Linked DNA regions of Cricetulus griseus. The protein of the gene in region 2 interacts with the protein of the main gene of each other region in a biochemical or structural test. Links are inferred from orthologs where the notes say so. Each region holds a gene or a part of one and is shown on either strand. Other genes may lie near its edges.

Region 1 (4,068 bases), on a different chromosome or scaffold from region 2:
GTGATTTAGTGAACCTGGTCACTCCAGTGCCCTAGGCCAGAAAAATTGTCCTAGGCTAGGTCAGGTCATGCCTGTCACAGAAGGGACTCTACCAGCTGGGTCATTTCAGCTGTAAATAACTGTTTTTACAATGTTGGGAATTAAATCAGAGCCTGGTAAAAGTTTATGAATGGTTCAGTGGCTAAAGACACTGGCTGCCATCCCTGATGAGCTGAGTTCAATCCCAGGGATTCATATGGTAGAAACAATACTCACCAAACTGTCCTCTGACCTCCATATGCACACCATGGCATGTATGTAAATATTCATATATGGTAAGTAAATGTAGAAAAATTTAAATAGCAAGTAAACAATTACCTTTTATTGGAATATCTATGTTGTGACTCTAATTTTTGTTTTTGTTTTTCAAGACGGGGTTTCTCTGTGTAGCCTTGGCTGTCCTGAAACTTGCTCTGGAGACCAGGCTGGTCTCAAACTCACAGAGATCCACCTGCCTCTGCCTCCTGAGTATAGGGACTAAAGGCAGGTGCCACCACTGCCTGGTGGTGACTATGATTTTTAAATAAAGGGAAAAATTCTAAACAAAGGAGACAGTTTGTATAGACTTTAAAATATATATATTTAGAGAGAGATCAGATGTAGCTTTCTGAAAATAATTATTTGGAAGAAAGCAAACACAATGCAGTTTGGGAATCACAAATGAAGGTGCCTGATTCTGTCCCCTCCATCACAGAGGGGTATTCACTTCCTGGTCCCAAGGACAATAAAGAGATGAAGTTTTTGGCAAAGGGGCTGCAGAATCAGAAGAAGGTCAGATCGTCATGTCGATTTTTGTTGATCTGGTAGGAAGACAGGGTCAAGGGCTTGTTTTCATGGGGAAGGGGCTTGAACACCCTCAAGTGCACAAATTTTTCGTCACCAACATCAACCTGGAGGGAGAGAAAGAGGGGCCCAGTAGCAAAAGGTGAGTGCCCAGCTCCAGACTCAGCCTGGCCTTAGAGAAGCTCAGGGTACCAGCAACTGGGCCAGTAAAATGCTTGTCTCTTCCTTCAAGACCAGGAACTCCAGGACCCAAAATTCATCGTCTCAGAACCTATATGTGTCTTTTTTTTTTTTTTTTTTTGCTACACAGGGTTTCTCTGTGTAGCTTTGGAGCCTCTCCTGGCCCTCGCTCTGGAAACCAGGCTGGCCTCAAACTCACAGATATCTGCCTGCCTCTGCCTCCCGAGTGCTGGGATTAAAGGCATGCGCCACCAACGCCCGGCTATATGTGTCTTCTTAAAGGGTGTTCCCTCTAAAGGAAGAAGTTGCAGAACACTTGGCTATCCTCTGAGACTGTCCTTCCTCAGTTTTTCCCAGGTCACACTCATACCTACCTTGATAAAGAAGTTGATGCCAGCCACCACCTGTTGCCTGAAGGATACGGCTTTAAAGACGGTGAACTTCTGATTCTCTTTCTCTTCAAGCTGGGATTTCACCTGGATGGTGGGTGATAAGAGAATGACTCAGATTCAATGGCAAGTGCTTTCCTGCCTCTCTTAGGATCCCCCCCCCACCCCCCGCCAGCCATCAACACTAGTGTTCCTCACAGTGGGGGACATGGTAAGCTGTTGGGTGCACTGACAAAGGGGATCACAGCTCCTCTTTTGAGACACGGTCTCACTGTGCAGCTATGGCTGGCCTGGAATTATGTAGACCAGGCTGGCTTCAAACTCTGAGAGATTTGCGTATCTCTGCCTCTGGAGTGCTGGTGTAAGACACTACACCTGGCCAGGGTTCCCTTTAAGTGTACATAGCTCGGTGTCAGGGGTGTAAATCTGCCCAGGCTGAGTAAGAATGATGACAGGCAAGGGTTGCTTGGGCCTGTCAGGGGAGGGCTGGGCAACTGTGTCTGTACCAATTCCTCATTTTCAGGGTCTCATGGAGCTGACTCACTCCTTCCTGGCCACTTTGGTCAGATCACAAACATTCCAAGGACAGCTCAGCTTGGTGGACAGGACCCTGGACTTGGGAGGTGGCTGGAATGCTGAAGGGTGGACATGTTTAACTTTTCCTCTCTTGTTAACACCCTGAACCTCTCTGGCCTGCACATGTCTGCTCTGCAGACAGCCACAGGACGGGCTGCGGGACTCAGAAATCATGCACCAGGAACTCCCACCCAGGTCCATCCTCTGGCTGCAGACTAGGAAATCTAGGCACTAACTAGCAAGTTCTGCAACTTTTGGTTTCAACTTTTCTTTCTCCCGGAGGGAGTGGGGTAAGGTGTGTCCTGCCACTGAGCTATACATTCCTAAGTCTTTATTTTGAGAAAGAGACTCCCACTGTAGCCCAGGCTGGCCTTCATCGAGTCTCTTGTTTAGGCCTGGGTTGAAGTCAGAGGGTGCCTCACCTTCGGGCTAGCCTGATTTTACCCCTGGGCTCTAGCAGTGTGAGCCTCCTTCCTGAACTCTTATGGGACGTCTCACCCCTCCGCCGACCTCGATTTCCTAGTTTCCTAGGAGGTGGGCGGTCCTCTCGCAGACACGACCCAGTCCCGGTTTCTGAATCCTCCAACCAGGCCCAGAGTCCCAGCTCCCAGGCGCAAATGGGACCGCGCCCGCATCCTGCTACAGGACCCGGGCGGGTTTGGGCATGCCGGACCCTTAGGCCGCCGGGTCCCCGAGGGCCTGGCTCTTGCTGGCTCTTGTCCTGGGCCTAGCTCACCGTGTCGGAGATCTCCTGCGTCTCGGCCGTGGCCGGCTGCGTGGCGGACGGCGCTCCACACATCATCTTGGCTGCGGTGGACCTGGGGGCACGGACAGGAGATAAGGACGGAAACAGCGGGGAGGCTTCTGTGCCGGGACCCTAGAAGAACCTGACTCGGCTCCGCCCCCGGGCGCGTGGCACGTGACAAAGCGACGGGACGGGGCGGGGCGGGGCGCCGCACCCTCCCTCCCTCTCTCCAATGTCCTCACTCCTACATCTTAGGCAGTCTTGAGATCCAGGCTGGGCGTGGGCGGAGAGTGCAGCCCAGTGGATACCTCAGGCCCCTTCCCCGGATGGGCACTAAGTGGGGGTAGAAGGCTGGGAGTGGTGATCGCCCCTCAGTAGTGCGGAGTGACTGGAGCATCCGAACCCTCATTCTTTCCATGGCCATCTCAATTCCCCCTTGCCCTGTGGACATAAAGAGGGGGCTGGGTGGGTCCCTAGCCCCCCTTCCATGGGGTGGGCACAAAAATAGAGATGAACGATGACTTAAAGTCCCAGTTCTCCCCTGGTGTCCTGAGTTTGTGGGTCCTGGTAACCCCATAAAATAAGAGCCTATGGGGATCCCCCATGATCTGATCTGGGAAATCCATTCTTCCTGAATGAAATGGGTGTGGACATACTTAGGTTTGTTGGGCTGTAAGGGCTTGGGTATCCCAGTCCCACCATCGGGCACATAATGGGGAGGTCCGGACCCCACTCTCTCATACCCAGTACAGGCTGGGAACCGTGAGGACCCCCGATATGCATGCCCTCTGTCAGTGGTCTTGTTTGAGTGACTGTTAATCCTGAGATTCACACCAGAGAAAAAACAGTTACACCATTTTGACCGAACTAAAGCAAGCTTTTATTAAAGGGTTAATACTGACCAAGATGGAATTTGTTCGGGACCACCACCTGAAGACACATGTTGACATTGACAGAGCTTATAAAGACAAAACTCAAAGGCCACGGTACTTTGCCATGAGACTTTGTTTTCAAGAACTACAACTCCAGGAAGTTATTCCAGGAAGCATTCCGGGAAGTTAACTGGTTCTTGGGCAGGTGGGGTTTACAGGTTAACTTAGGGTCTAACATGACCTTCAGTCCCAATCCCTCTAGTGTTTGTTTTTCCATCGACCAAAATACCAGAATTTGATAGCTGGATGTGACAGTGCACACTTTCTATCCCAGCTCTTGAGAGGCTAAGCAAGCTGGCCTAGTGAGCCCTTGTCTTAAAAAATTAAGAATTTGGGGCTGCATTGATAGCTCATTGTAAAGTGCCTGCCATGCAAGTGTCACAACCTGAATTTGATCCTCAGAACCCAGTTAAAGAGTTGAATG
Region 2 (3,648 bases):
AGTGTCTAGGGAGGGACCAGATGGGACAAGGTAGGTGAGGAAATGTTTGAAGTCAGTTTCTTTCCATCACTACAGTTTCTGATCCTTGTAGTTGGGAATTACTGCAAGGATGAGTGGATGGTGGACACTGATGATAGACATACAGAGGGGCCTGAGATCCGGGTCCATGTACTAGCTGTGGAGTCATGTTCCCCCAGTAAACACGGCAGCCCTGACGCAACACAGCTTCATGAGTGCTCCCTGTGTGTCACTGAGCCATTCTGTGGTTTTTGAATTGTAGCAAAATACAAATGACAGAAAATTCATCTCTCTTAACTAGTGTATAGTCCAGTGGCATTTAAAATGTCCCTAGTATTGGGTGGCTGTCTCTACTGCCCATCCACACAGTCCTTTCGTCTCTTCCAAATGAACCAATTCAGTCATACTGACTCCCTGTGGCCCTCCTGTGCCCGTGGTGGCTCTCTTCTGCTCTCTGCCTTGGAATTTGCTCCTTGTGAGCCAAGTCCCCAGGCAGAGGCTTGGATTGGTCTCTTTACATTTAATGTTAAGTATGAGTCCAGAAGCCTCACCTGACATTGAATGGGTCTAACCACTCAGAAGGTCCAATGGCCTCCCTGCTTCAGGTACGGTGGGTTCCTCACCACGTGGGACTTGCTATTTTTCCAGGCATTTGGGGCTGTGGGAGCCATGTCTGACCGACTCTGCATCCACACCAATGGCCATGTCAATGTGGAGGTGTCTGCTGAGGACCTGCTTACCTGCTGTGGTAGCCAGTGTGGGGATGGGTAAGTGTTGGGCATCTTTTCCTGGAGACCCTAGCCCTTCCTCCTTTGTACTGAATAACTCAGGGCTCCCTGGGGAGAAGAGAGCTGTTTCTGTGGCTGGGACAGAGGGAGACATAGGAGTCTGCAGGCAGACTCTGTTGTAGCTGCTGCTGTGGAGCTTCTCGGGCTGGCCAGGCTGGCCTCAGATTCATGGGGATAGAGTCTTGGCAGAACATGGTCTCTAAAAGTTTTGCTTGCTTCCTGTTCCCTGTCTGGCTTATGCCCCACTGTACCCCATCACTTCCTCTACTCACACCCCCAACTCAGGGAAATATACTGGTCCGCTTTATAAGGATGACAGATCCCAGCTTGGGGGGTGAGGGTGGGGTCACACTAAACTCAGTCCGTAACTCAGGTGCTTACCAGGGTCGCCTGGCCCTTAGTCTATAACAGTGGTGCAGTTAGACATTCCTGAGAGTTCCAGAAGAAATGTGTGTGGGCCTCACACCAATAGTGTAGGAACAGCAGGAAGAAGGAGGCAAGTGATTCCCACTTCTCCCCAGGCAGAGCCTCACACTTCCATATTCTGCCTAGTGCATTGGAGCTGAAAAGACACCATACCCCGTTTTGCAAGAGGTTCTCCTAAGTAGAGCCCACCGCACCAGTATATGCCTTAAACCCAGAGCATAACCCTGTATTTTGCCTGTCCCTTTACAGCCCTGTTTCCATCTTAGCTGAACATATATTCACTGTGACCATAAGTCTTTAGAGTCCAACCGGTGGCAGTGAAACCAACACGAATCCCCCCTTTCTTCATAATTTAAGGCATAGAAGAGTCACTCCTACCGTAGATCTTAGCAACCTGAGTTTATGATTTTCTTTTCCTCTTCAGAACTTGTGCCTTTTCACATGAAGGCATTTACAGCTTCCATTTGGCATGTCTGAGCTGCCTGCGTCACAGCTCTTAGACTTGGCCATCAAGGATTACTTGAACCCACACTGCAGCATCACAATTGCAGTTGGCTTTTTACTCTGCAGTTGGCTTTTTACTCTTCACTCTTTAGGGGCTTGCCACCTAGCTCCCAAATAAATACACGGAGACTTATTCTTTTTTTTTTTTTTTTTTTTTTGTTTGTTTGTTTTTTTTCGAGACAGGGTTTCTCTGTGGCTTTGGAGGCTGTCCTGGAACTAGCTCTTGTAGACCAGGCTGGTCTCGAACTCACAGAGATCCGCCTGCCTCTGCCTCCCGAGTGCTGGGACTAAAGGCGTGTGCCACCAACGCCCGGCGACTTATTCTTACTTTTGAATGCCTGGCCTTAGCTTGGCTTGTTTGTAGTCAGCTTTGCTATCTTGAATTATCCCATCTACCTTTTGCCTCTGGACTTTTTACCTTTCTTCTCTTTCCTTCTTAGTCCATGGCTGGCTATGTGGCAGGGTGGCTGGCCCCTGGTGTCTTCTTCTCCTTCTCTTTTTTCTCATTCCTCCTATTTATTCTCTCTGCCTGGCAACCCCACCTATCCTTTCTCTCCTGCCTAACTATTTGCTATTCAGCTCTTTATTAGACCAATCAGATGTTTTAGGGAGGCAAAGTAACACAGCTTCACAGAGTTACATAAATGCAACAGAAAGGAATGAAACACATCTTTGCATCATTAAACAAATATTCCACAGCATAAACGAATGTTACATATCTTCAACTAATATTCTACAGCACAGAGCTATATGGATTTGATAACCAAGATGGCTCTCAATTGACTAGAGATAGTAGCGTATACAGTTCTCTGCTGAATGGACCAGGAAGTGTGAGATTTTTATCATGCTACTAAGAACAGTGTGCAATTTAAAATTGAGGAATTAATTTTGGAATTTTCCCCTTAACATGTTTGGACCTGAGATAAAACCTCAGAAATCAAACAACCCAGGCATGGTGGTGCATGCCTTTAGTCCCAGCACTCGGATGACAGAGGCAGGAGGATTTCAGCCTGGTCTACATAACAAGTGCTAGGACAGCCAGGACTACATTGAGAGACCCTGTCTCATAAAAAGAGAAAGAAAGAAATGAAACTACAGATCAGGGAGGGGGCTATTATACTCAGGAAATTTTAACATACTGTGCAGTTGAGAACCACTGTTCCATAGAGGGGAGTTTTGAAGGTCAGTTTGATATGGACATGAAAAAGAGAGTCCTTGTGGCCTGGAGGACACTTGTAGACAGAGATGGAGCTGGGTTGGGTCCCTGGTGGGGTGACAGTAAAGATGAATTAGGCTATAGGACTGTGGGAGGGTTCTTATGAGGAAGGTGTATTCCCAGTGGTGAATCTGTAGTGCTATATGGGAACACCTGGAGCTAGCTCAACATTGAAAGAAGCTCTTTTCCAGCTGTAACGGTGGCTATCCCTCTGGAGCATGGAACTTCTGGATAAAAAAAGGCCTGGTTTCTGGTGGACTCTACAATTCCCATGTAGGTGAGTGTATGCCTGCAACCCCTGTCTCTCAGGTGGGTTTCATGGGCAAGTATTTGTGGCTTCCTTTTCTATTGTAAAGGGAAGGTCAACAGTAGAGTGTCAGCTGATTGATAGTTGGCCAGACCACCTTCAATACAGGAGCAGCCACCGGATGTGGACATGATCTGGCTGCATCCCAGCTCTGACTGGCCTGGGGAGCCTTGCATTGGGGGATACGGTCTGATGTCATTTTGTCCCCTCCACCTGTCAGGCTGCTTACCATACACCATACCTCCCTGTGAGCACCATGTCAATGGCTCCCGGCCCCAGTGCACTGGAGAAGGAGACACTCCTAAGTGTACCAAGAGCTGTGAGGCTGGCTATTCCCCATCCTACAAAGAAGATAAGCACTACGGTAAGCTGGGGCTTGCTGAGGGAGA
Region 3 (4,245 bases), on a different chromosome or scaffold from region 2:
GAGATAGCCAAGAGTTGTCTCTCCTAAGACATTTAACAGGGGATTTTAATATATATATATATATATATATATATTATATATAATATATATATATAAAATAAAATATATATCTCCATGACAGGTCGTGGAGATTTTCTCTTTGACCCCACAAATCATTCTAGGGATGCAATAACCCTCTCTGGCCTGACACTGTGTGGGCCCCCCCCCAAACTACAATCTAGGAGGAGTTGATTCAATTTCCTGACTTAACAAGGATTTCAGTAGTATCTGCTTGAGGGGTTCTTTGGAGGATGGGGAATGATTGATGGGACTGAGAAAATGCTTCCTAAAATATACAGTTTACTGCTGTGTCTCTGCCTCCCAACCCTTAACTTGGAAATGTTCCCTAAGGCTGTCTCCTGCAAGAGAGGACAGATGAGTGATGTCTGGGAGCTGAGCCACCACACTGTACTTGTTCACCTTACAGTAAAGTGTTTGACAGCCATGCCTAATGGCCTTTTTGGTCTTAAACCTATGATTATGAAAGAGCACTTAATTAAGTTTTATTTTATAATATGCTCTAGATATCTTGACTTCCTCTATACTGTTAATTTTTCAGGAGCAGTGGGTCTTATAGCCATTTATGTAGCTTCGACAGTTTGTAGCCTTATGCTAGACACCTAGGAGAGACTCAGGAAGTGCCCCTACCATGAAATGGTTGATGCCTATGCAATGTGAATTGTGGTTTAAACCCGCGGCCACGGATTGCATGGAGAAGGCAGGTTTGTGGCATTCTCTCCCCTCAGACCTGCAAAAGCTCCCCAGTGTGTTGAGGCCATGCAGTGGAAAGGACAGATAAATTTTTTAACTGGGTGACTGACTCTCAAGCATTTTGAGTCTTGGTTTCATCATCTAAAAATGGGATGTAATGCCTTGCCTGCCCTAGGGCTTTGAAGATCAAATGGGAGGTGGAATGGAAGTCAAGGCTTTTACAACTCCTTCCTGGGGTGAGGTGGCCTTGTTAAAATCTATTTCCCATTGTACTTCTCTGAAGGTGCAAGAACACACTTCTAAATTAAGTTTATCACCGAAGATGTGGTCCACAGATGGTGTTATTAGCAAGGTAAGCCCTTCTGGTAGCTTCCTAACTTGGAAAAATTATATGATCAAGATACACTGCATGTATATATGAAATTCTCAAAGAACTAGTAAAAATATACTTAAAACTATCCTAGCCAGGCAGGATAACACACTCCTGTAGTCCCAGGTACTTGGGAGACTAGAAGCAAGAGGATTACTTGAGCCTATCAGGTTGCGAGGACCACTCTGAGAAACAGCAAGACCCCCCCCCCAAACTTTTCAAAAAAGAATAATTGTTCAAGCTAACCAAGTGATCAACTATTAAAAAAAATCATTAAAATCTTCTGTATCTTCTATATTTCAAATAGCTGTATTTCCCTATCTATTCCCCATAGCTCTGGTTCCTGGAACATCTTAGGGGATTTTTTAGGCTGGGGGATTTTTTCAGGTGACATACACAGCAATGATGCCTCATCTGTGATATTTGCTTTTGAAACAATTTTTATGTTCATTATTTTAGCTCTTTCTTCTTACAAATGAAATGGAGAACCTTTCCTTGGAATTCATCTCACAGGTCTCCTAGGATGCCAAATATGTTGTCCTACAGGAAAGTGAAGCTGTAGGGAGGAAGCAGCCGTAGCTCCTGAGAGCCTGGGAGAATGCGGACTTGCAGGCCTGTCCAGCCCTCTCCAGTCAGGTCTTCATTTTATCTAGAGCGACAAGTGACTCACGTGCACATTCAAGTCTGAGAACACAAGACTTGATGTGAAGATTCTAATGAAGGTATAAAGATTCAGCATTATCTTCTTCAAAAATAAAATGCTCCAAGTGTATTTATTGACATAAAGCTATGAGTGAGAACTATTTAGCTTTAAATATTTAGCCATTGAATTTTAGGCCCATGATCTCCTCTAGAATGTTCAGTGTTCTAAACATGAAGGCTCCCTCCCACCTCTTCTACTCACATAAAAGCTGATGATACCTAGTATGGTGATGCTTAGGAAGTTGAGGCAGGAGAAGTGCTGTGAGTTTGAAGCCAGTCGGGTTACTTAAGTACTAGACCAATCAGGACATAGCAAGACCACGTCTCAAACAAACAGGCAAGCAAACAACAACAAAACTGATCTTGTCTGCCAGGATGACGGTTCAGGGAGGAAAACAAAATGATGTAAGGAAATAAGGTGACAGATTGCAAACCTACAACCATAATTTGCATGCATTTCTCTTTTATAAAACATGCAACACAACACATTTTTATTATATAGATGATAGTTAAGCAAGGTGCATGAACTTGCTAAAAACATCGGGTTCTATTTTGACTGTAAAGGTGTGGTGCGCACAGCACCCTGGGAATCCTCTCAGGAATCCTTAACAACCTTAGGTGCCTCACACCTTGGCTTCAGTTAGTCCTGAGATCACACTTGTACGTAAAAGGTTTAGAGACTATTTTTACAAATTCACCTTCAGTTAATGGGGAAACTGAAGCTGTAGTGTGACTTGTCCAAGTTTACTTTTGGAAGGTTGACATTTCCCTGAAAAGTCTTAATGTTCCATCTTTAGCTACACAAAAGTCTGAATTAAAACCCATACATTTCTGGTTTCTGTGATTTCCCACACTCTTAACACAGAGCCAAATTTTGAACCAAATGACAAAAGTTTGATTTGGGATCAAACTTTTCCCTGAAATGCCCCAACTTACCTGGTCGGCAATCTCCTGAACTTCTGGTGTGGCAGGCCTGGCCTCAGTCAAGCCTCCTGGGATCATTCTGGTGAGTTGTTTCTTTGCTGGGCAGGATGCTGAGAGGGAATGATCAGGGAGCACGGAGACTCAGGGTTTTAAAGGAGCCAATAAACTCCTCCTATATAATGTATTAACTTCCACAATAGCTGAGGGACTGGGAAATGAGTGTGGCCTCAGGCAAGTCTTATCACCTCCCTTAGAGGAAATGCTGAATAGAGATGGGGAAGGGGGACAACGATAAGGTGATAAGGTGGGGGGGGTGTGAGCAAGTGGGTGTGCCCAGATTTTAGGCGTGGTTAGTATAGGTTCCTCCCTGCTCTCTGTGCCAATTTTTTTTTCATCCTGTTGTATCATATGAGGAGCGACACACATGCAACCAGAGTTGCCAAATAAGTTAAACCTCAAGAGTTCTTTTAAGAGGATACTTAATAATGTCAAGTCTGGTTGCTTAGAATTCACCTAACTTTATAAAGACAGCAAAACTGTCTGTCTGGAGGACTTTTAGTTTCTGAAATGCTTATGCTTATCCCCAAACACAAAAAATAAAATAACAAACATCTTTATTTTTTTATTTTGCTGTTGATTCGTGTGTGTGTTTGAAGGGATTTCATTTATCCTGGGCTGGTCTTGAAATCACTATGAACCTTGAACTTCCAGTTCTCTTGCCTCTACCTGCAGAGTCTGGAATTGCAGGCATGTACCATGTCCAGTTTATGTGGTGCTGGTGATTAAATCCAGGGCTTTTTTGGGTGCCAGCTATGTCATCTTCCAGTTGATCTATGTGCCCAGCCCAAGATAGCCTGATTTCTGTCATTTAGTATTTGCTTTTGTTTTGTTATTTTTTGTTATTTGCTTCATGCTCCTTTTTGTAGTTTCTTTTATTGTCTTCCTTCCTTCCTTCCTTCCTTCCTTCCTTCCTTCCTTCCTTCTTTCCTTCCTTCCTTCCTTCTTTTTAATTCAAGCTGGCCTAGAATTTATTAAGTAGCCCAGGCTGGACTTCAGGTCCAGTTTCTTCTGCATGCTGAGATTAATATCACCTATGGAGGAAGCCCCCACCCAACCATGTCATCCACAGAGTTATACCATGAGTTTGTTAACCCTGTAGCCCATTTTAATAATTTGTAGCCAAGTTTTACAGTTTAATTTTTATTAAATCATATATAACCACATATTCTGTTATACTATTGTTTCTGTCTGTCTCTGTCTCTGTCTCTGTCTCTGTCTCTGTCTCTCTCTCTCTCTCTCTCTCTCTCTCTCTCTCTCTGTGTGTGTGTGTGTGTGTGTGTGTGTGTAGGGAGTCCAGAGGTGTCAGATCCCTGGAGATGGAGTTACAGATGATTTTGGGCTGCCTGACATGGCCACTGGGAACTGAACTCTGGTCCCCTGTGTGTTATAAAGTGCTGAGCCATCTCTCCAGCTCCTATGCTCCTTTTCTGCTCACCATG

The links.
Region 1: the proteins of Ctsb (region 2) and Cstb form a complex in vitro, tested with the Homo sapiens proteins (2 studies listed by BioGRID). The link is inferred for Cricetulus griseus from reciprocal best matches to the Homo sapiens genes CTSB and CSTB.
Region 3: the proteins of Ctsb (region 2) and Csta form a complex in vitro, tested with the Homo sapiens proteins (3 studies listed by BioGRID and IntAct, with this or other methods). The link is inferred for Cricetulus griseus from reciprocal best matches to the Homo sapiens genes CTSB and CSTA.

What each region holds. Positions count from the first base shown.
Region 1 is NW_023276806.1:260,434,936-260,439,003, forward strand, and holds Cstb (cystatin-B), read right to left. Parts: upstream 2,875-4,068; 5' UTR 2,770-2,874; coding exon 2,704-2,769; intron 1,479-2,703; coding exon 1,377-1,478; intron 930-1,376; coding exon 801-929; 3' UTR 595-800; downstream 1-594. UniProt on the Homo sapiens protein: This is an intracellular thiol proteinase inhibitor. Tightly binding reversible inhibitor of cathepsins L, H and B.
Region 2 is NW_023276807.1:218,172,828-218,176,475, forward strand, and holds part of Ctsb (cathepsin B), read left to right. Parts: intron 1-666; coding exon 667-785; intron 786-3,143; coding exon 3,144-3,229; intron 3,230-3,479; coding exon 3,480-3,623; intron 3,624-3,648. UniProt on the Homo sapiens protein: Thiol protease which is believed to participate in intracellular degradation and turnover of proteins. Cleaves matrix extracellular phosphoglycoprotein MEPE. Involved in the solubilization of cross-linked TG/thyroglobulin in the thyroid follicle lumen.
Region 3 is NC_048597.1:53,561,825-53,566,069, reverse strand, and holds the start of Csta (cystatin-A), read right to left. Parts: upstream 2,825-4,245; coding exon 2,759-2,824; intron 1-2,758. UniProt on the Homo sapiens protein: This is an intracellular thiol proteinase inhibitor. Has an important role in desmosome-mediated cell-cell adhesion in the lower levels of the epidermis.